Rattus norvegicus: one gene and its partner. Each later gene encodes a partner of the first gene's protein in a complex. Each region holds a gene or a part of one and is shown on either strand. Other genes may lie near its edges.

Region 1 (3,652 bases):
CTTTAAAGTAATTATTAATGAACATATGTTTTTTTTTTATCATACTTAGAAAAGCAATTCACAAGATCCTTGAGAAAAGTTAAAACGTGTGAGCTATTGGTACCTTTGCCTTATTCTTTGACAAATTCATGCCTGGATACAATGTATCTTCATCATCTTCTTCCCATTTGCTCCTCATTTCCATCTTTATAAATCTGAAATTTGTCCTATTACTATTCTAAGGGGTCCTAGGTGGGATACACAGTTCTAGATGTATTTTTGTTGCAACAGTCTTTACAATGTTGATATTCACAATGACAGAATCCTGAATGCTGAATCTGTTAGAGCACTGTGGCAATGTTAATTGAAAACCAACTAATTGTTTATGGTAAATGATGAAAACCATCTCTTGTCTCAGAATCTTGTGTTTCGAAACTGCGATTGCAGGAAAAGTTGTTACAAATGGGCCTGAGTCACTTCTTGGTTTTCCTTGAGGAAATATTACATCAAAATCTGTAAACTTCTCTCATTTAAAATATATAAAATAGAGAGTAAACTTACCCTGAGTGCCTTCAAGGAACAGCTTCAAGTCTCTGTGCTCATGTCATGTGAGTGAACCTGAGAAAATGTAGAAATCATGAGGTCCAGTGGACAACTGAATATGAAAGATGATTCTGTTCCAGTCTGTGGAGGTCAAGGAGGCAGAGCCTCTCAGTGAGACATAGCTACCTCCCAACCCCCATGGAGTTGGCTGGCTGGCCAGGCATGCCTGCTCAGTGTTAGGAATCCAAGCCACCATGCCTGACCTTTTTCATGTGGTTACTGAGGATTGTCCTCTTGTCTTCAAGCTTTCAAGAAGAGCCGTTTACCAGCTGAACCATCCCTCCAGCCTTCCACCACAGTGAGCTGGTTTCTTTGCCACCACACACGCTCAGGTCTTAAAGTCTTTACAAACAACGGCTGACGGCTCACAAGTCAATGGTTACCTTAAGCATGTATCCATTTTTTTCCCTTTTTTAAGCATAGCCTCTAATGATTTCAAAATGAACCGACTCCTCTCTGTGAAGCTGAGAAAATGTGAAAGATAAATGAGGTGTGATAATCCACTTTAGCTCACAGAGTGTGACTGGGAACCTCTCACAAATACAAAACACTCAAACACAGGAGCCTGTGAGACCATTTTTAATTCAAATCACTGTAGTGAGTTGACGTGTGGACATGTGCGTGCCATGTCTTATACATGACGATCAGAGGACAGCTTGTAGGAGTGGGTTCTTTCTTTTCACCACATAGATCCTGGTTTGATCTCAGGTCACCAGGCTTGGTGGCAAGCACTTTTACTCACATAGCCATCTTGTCTGCTCATGGTACTTTTGAAAGGAAATGTGATTGGAACCTCATAACAGTATGCATTTGTCCTTAAGAATCCGGTGATGACTAAGGACAGAGGTGTAGAACTGACTTGTACACTCCATTGTATAGGTCTCTTGTGTGTATGTGTGGGGTCCAATAGCTAATATTTGTATTAAATGAAAGGATGCAGACTTTCCCACGTCCCACTGATGTCTCCACAGTTATCTTTGGGACTTCAGAAAGCACCTCGCAGCTGCCGAGGCCGACTGCTGTCCTAAGGTTTTATTTACTTCAGTCCATTTGTTTCAGAAAAAGGCTGCGGATCATCCGAATCGGACTCCCTCCATATGGCTGGCCATGTACAGGGCTTTTGGGAGACCGATCCTGCTGAGCAGCACGTTCCGCTACTTGGCTGACTTGCTGGGCTTTGCCGGCCCTCTTTGTATTTCCGGAATCGTCCAGCGTGTGAATGAACCGAAGAATAACACGACGAGAGTAAGTGCACGGCTTTTAAAATTTATTTATCGCTTGTATTAGTTGCTTTTCTATTTCTGTGAAGACACCATGACCAAGGAAACTGATAGAAGGAACAATTTATTGAAGGGATACAGTTTCAGAGGGTGAGTCCATGACCATCACGGTGGGGGGCGTTCGAGCGTGGCAGCAGGCAGGCGGGCAGGCAGGCGGACAGGCAGGCAGGCGGGCGGGCAGGCAGGTGGACCGGTAGGCGGGCGGGCTGGTGGGCAGGCAGGCTGCAGGGTGTTAGAGCTGCAGGTGAGAGCTTACGTCTTGATCCACAAGCATGAGGCTGAGAAAGAGCTAACTTGGAATGGCATGGGCAATTAAAACCTGAAAGCCTGCTCTCTGTGACACCCCTCCTCCAACAAGGCCATACCTCCTAATCCTTCCTGACCAGTTCCACCAACTCAGGACAACTACTCAAACATATGAGCTGACAGGCAACATTGTTATTGAAATCACTACTGTGCGTAGGCATGCGGGTGCCATAGCTAACGTGTGGGGCTCAATGACAACTTACGGGAGTGGAGCAGGTTCTCTCTTTTCACTGTGTGGATCCTGGGGTTGATCTCAGGCCATCAGGCTTGGTGGCAAGCACCTTTACCTGCTGAGCCATCTTGCCTGCCTGGTTCACCGTGTATTTGAAAAGAAACGCATTATTGAAAGATTACATTGTAATTGTCACTTTTTATTAATGCAGTGGTATGAGAAGTTCAAGCATGGTTATTTATAGAGGAATTTAATGTTTTTAGTAAAGCAAATAATTTTCTTTTTTTTAAGTTTTTTATTGTTTATTTAATTTTTTACATTTCCAGTGTTATCCCCCTCCCTGGTTTCCCCTCTGCAAACCCCCTATTCCCTCCCCTCCCCTGCTTCTATGAGGGTGCTGCCCCCCACACACACCCACTCACTCCTGCCTCACTGCCCTGGAATTCCCCTATGCTGGGGCTTCACAGGACCAAGGGCCTCTCCTCCTATTGATGCCAGATAAGACCATCCTTTACTACATATGTAGCTGGAGCCATGGGTCTCTCCATGGGTACTCTTTGGTTGGTGGTTTAGTCCTTGGGAGTTCTGGGAAATCGGGTTGGTTGATATTGTTGTTCTTTCTACGGGGTTGCAAACCCCTTCAGTTCCTTCAGACCTTCCCCCTGACTCCTCCATTGGGGTCCCTGTACTCAGTCAGATGGTTGGCTGCGAGCATCTGCTTCTGTATCTGTAAGACACTGGCAGAGCTTCTCAGAAGATAGTTATATCAGGCTCTTGTCAGCAACTTCTTGGCATCCACCATAGAGTCTGGGTTTAGTGGCTGTGTGCGAAATGGAATCCCAGGTGAGGCCCTCTCTTGATGGCCTTTCCTTCAGTCTCTGCTCCACTCTTCGTCCCCGCATTACTGTTAGACAGGAGCAATTCTGGGTTAAATTTTTGAGAAGGGTGGGTGGCCCCATCCCTCAACTAGGGTCTGTGCCTAACCTCTGGATATGGTCTCCACAAGGTTCGCTCTCGCCTTTGTTGGGTGTTTCAGTTAATATCATCCCCATTGGGTCCTGGGAACCTCTTGCTTTCCTGGTATCTGGGACTTTCTGGTGGCTACCCTCAGTTTCCCATCCCCATTGCCACACAATTTCCTCACCCTCTGTACATATCCCCCATCTTCTCCTACACCTGATCTGTCACCCCTTCCATCCTCCCTCTCCTCTTTTCCTCACAAGTCCCTCCCATCCTCTACCTCCCGTGATTATTTTGTTCCCCCTTCTAAGTAGTACTGAAGCATCCACACTTTGGTCTTCCTTATTCTCGA
Region 2 (3,509 bases), about 120 kb from region 1:
GATGCTTTCTAGGAAGAGAATTTTATAGCAATCGCTGGTTTCTAAAACCTGCTTCTTGTTACTTCTTATCCAAAGAAGATATTCTGAAGAATATTTATTTCCTAGATGCATTCCTAATGGTGTTAAGCTGTGAGGAATGGTGTCAAAACTACAGTGAAGCAAAGGTGACTTCATCAACCTAACAGTGCTAGCTTTTAGATCACGCTCCTTAGTATACGTAAAGCCTATTGTCTTCCTAGAGAACTTTGAAGACGTACATAACTCTAATTGCTTGTTTTCCATTTCTTTTATAAATTCAATGTCAGGCAAATCATCAAATGTGGAAGCAACTTTTCCTCAGTGGCTGTCCAGCAGTATTTCCAAAGTTGCTTGGCTGCTCTCACTTAAGGGTGGCACATTTTCTCCTTTGTGCAGACGACTTTGCAACATGAGTCAGAAAATAGAAACAATGTTATTTTCCTCATTATTATTCAGCTGACGCTCTGCCCTCATCCCTTCTCCATTGAAGGCTTTTTTTTTCCACTTGAGATTGTGAGACAGGTGTCCAGAAAATATTGTTCTTATTCTGGATAGAGAAATTGAATTAATTGATTAATTGTTAATTGAATTAAACAATATTAAAAACACGGTTCAGGAACCATCTCCCAAGCCATGGACAGACATGGGACTCTTCTCTGACATACAAACCATTGTTAAACTCAGTGTTAGATGTGCACCCTCTTCTGAGGCCTGTTTCTACTGTCTGTGTGTTTCCCATCCATGCCACATATCTCAGGGTGTGTAAGGAGGGCAGAAGTCAATTCTTAGAGTTTTGCATGGACTGTTTTAGCCACAACAGAGATAAAGGGCTCTTTTCCTACCCCACTTGAAAGCAGATGGATGTGTGTGGACTCACACACTCTCCTGGCTTCCTGCCAAAGGGCAGCATGTATTGAGTGCTCAAATTCAAATGTTTGGTTTTCTCATTGTGCCTGGTATTCATAGATAATATTTTGACAGACTGTAATGTATGGTTTCTCTCCTATGAAGTTAGCGAAGTGTGGACCTGGGGTGAGTGTCAGGAATAGCGGCTGTGAAGAAGCCCCAGCAGTCCTGGGTATGCAGCCAGGCGAGTAATTTGCTAACAACAAAATGTGACTCTTCTCAGCCAGAGATTAAACAAAATTACCCAGGACTCACTCAAGTCCAGCAGGAGCCCTCCAAACCCTTGTCTATTCACTTAGATGCGGAGATGTACAACCAGAAAACACCTTCCCAAGAAAATCCTGACACCAGTTAGCTCTTTCCCCTTGCTCCTTTGAGAACAGCAGGCCAGATCTGACAGGACTCACGGATGTAGTCATTATGTATACATAGTTTTTGGGTCACATGAAAAACAAGATAATCAATAAAAACTTCTCCAAATGGAAAAAAACCCAACTCTCCTTATTAAAATACAAATGTTTTCTGGATGACATGTTTTACACCATGTTTTACCACTGTACTGGATTTTGTAAACAGGACAACCAATTACTGGATAATGACTATAATTCCAGAAGCTACAAATAATACAACATTCAGCCATTACCCAGTAGCTTCCATATGAACTCAAGTCTCTCAAACACAAGTAGGTAATAAATAACACTAGCTAGTAGAAAATTCCAGAAAGTAAGTTAGGCTTTGGTAAATGTGAAATATATCTACAATTTATATTTAGTTGTTTTTTTTATAAATGTCTTCACATGGTATATGATCTAGGAAGCATACAAATGGAAAAGGAGAGAGGAGGGGAGAAAGAGAGAAAGGGAGAGGGAGAGGATGTCAGAAGGTTGTGGGAGAGAGGAGGGAGGGAGAAAGGAGTGGGGAGGGTGCTTGTATTAAAAACGAATCTTTCCCAAGTCACTAGGCTGTAGTAGCAAGCGTGGCTCCTCCTGGGCACTTTCCACCACGCCCACGCTGACCTGGCGTTATTTCTGATATCATTCCTTACAGGTCATTCACTTCTGCGTTTCTCTTCTCCATCGAGGTTCAAGTGACCATTGGGTTTGGAGGGAGAATGATGACTGAGGAGTGCCCTCTGGCCATCACGGTTTTGATTCTGCAGAACATTGTGGGTCTGATCATCAACGCGGTCATGTTGGGCTGCATCTTCATGAAGACGGCCCAGGCCCACAGAAGGGCAGAGACGCTGATTTTCAGCCGCCATGCTGTAATTGCGGTCCGTAATGGCAAGCTGTGCTTCATGTTCCGGGTGGGTGACCTGAGGAAAAGCATGATCATTAGCGCCTCGGTGCGCATCCAGGTGGTCAAGAAAACCACGACGCCAGAAGGAGAGGTGGTGCCTATTCACCAGCAGGACATCCCTGTGGATAATCCCATCGAGAGCAATAACATCTTCCTAGTGGCCCCTTTGATCATCTGCCATGTGATTGATAAGCGTAGCCCCCTGTACGATATCTCAGCCACTGACCTTGTCAACCAAGACCTGGAGGTCATAGTGATTCTCGAGGGCGTGGTGGAAACCACGGGCATCACCACGCAAGCGCGGACCTCCTACATTGCAGAGGAGATCCAGTGGGGACACCGCTTCGTGTCGATTGTGACTGAGGAGGAGGGAGTGTACTCTGTGGACTATTCTAAATTTGGTAATACTGTGAGAGTGGCGGCGCCAAGATGCAGTGCCCGGGAGCTGGACGAGAAACCTTCCATCTTGATTCAGACCCTCCAAAAGAGTGAACTGTCGCACCAGAATTCTCTGAGGAAGCGCAACTCTATGAGAAGAAACAACTCCATGAGGAGGAGCAACTCCATCCGGAGGAATAACTCTTCCCTCATGGTGCCCAAGGTGCAATTCATGACTCCAGAAGGAAACCAGTGCCCATCAGAATCATGAGGGCAGGACGACCCTAGACAGCCACTCACTGAGTCCCGATGACTGACAGACCATCCTGAGACAGTTTGCTGAGTTCTGGTGATCGAAGTATCGGACCTGTCGCCAATTCAGGGCAGGAACACAACAGTATTCGTATTTTAAGGCACTGAAAAATATTCATATTTGAGAAATTAAACCTCTTGAATAAATAAACAATAGCACACAAAGCAGAGGGCTCGCGGCTCACACTTGTTTCCTCACACAGACTGCCGCAGCAGCGACACTTTTAGACATTTTTAGAGGCATGGAGTCACATAAAGATGATATCACCTTCTAAGATCCCTGCTCAGGTCTGTGGCCAAAGACAACCACAGTTTTCCCTTTCCTATTCTGTTTATTTGGGTTTTGGTTTGAAGCATTCTTTTTGGCTTGTCTTTCTGAGTTTGGGTTGCCATAGAAACCTGAGCCCTTCCTCTCTGATCCTCCTCTCATCTGGAAACTCTGTTTTCTTCCCAGCAGCCTTTGCCGTCTGAGTCAGTTGGCCTGCATGTCTGAGCTTCTGTCACTTAGCAGAGATGAGATCTTCTACCAGAGCCCAGGTTCATCCCCCTTAACTCCTGAGCCCTCAAGTAAGGGCAGAGTAGAGAGATGTCCTGAA

The links. The genes of interacting proteins can lie anywhere in the genome.
Region 2: the proteins of Abcc9 (region 1) and Kcnj8 are in contact, whole or in part, in a cryo-EM structure (PDB 7MIT), measured with the Rattus norvegicus proteins. Residues at the interface, in XP_038963045.1 of Rattus norvegicus: Phe5, Ile10, Tyr13, Asn14, Ile15, Val19, Asn22, Cys24, Phe25, Ala28, Leu29, Val32, Val35, Phe36, Phe39, Phe42, Pro43, Ile44, Phe46, Ile47, Gly48, Trp49, Gly50, Ser51, Lys55, Gln57, Ile58, Asn129, Phe130, Lys132; in NP_058795.3 of Rattus norvegicus: Met1, Leu2, Lys5, Ile7, Ile8, Pro9, Glu11, Tyr12, Val13, Leu14, Ala15, Arg16, Ile17, Ala19, Glu20, Asn21, Leu22, Leu45, Ala46, His47, Lys48, Asn49, Gly54, Arg55, Phe56, Leu57, Asp59, Ile60, Thr62, Thr63.

Annotation. Positions count from the first base shown.
Region 1 is NC_086022.1:177,362,220-177,365,871, reverse strand, and holds part of Abcc9 (ATP-binding cassette sub-family C member 9), read left to right. Parts: intron 1-1,641; coding exon 1,642-1,827; intron 1,828-3,652. UniProt on the Homo sapiens protein: Subunit of ATP-sensitive potassium channels (KATP). Can form cardiac and smooth muscle-type KATP channels with KCNJ11. KCNJ11 forms the channel pore while ABCC9 is required for activation and regulation.
Region 2 is NC_086022.1:177,240,181-177,243,689, reverse strand, and holds the end of Kcnj8 (ATP-sensitive inward rectifier potassium channel 8), read left to right. Parts: intron 1-1,971; coding exon 1,972-2,872; 3' UTR 2,873-2,998; downstream 2,999-3,509. UniProt on the Homo sapiens protein: Inward rectifier potassium channels are characterized by a greater tendency to allow potassium to flow into the cell rather than out of it.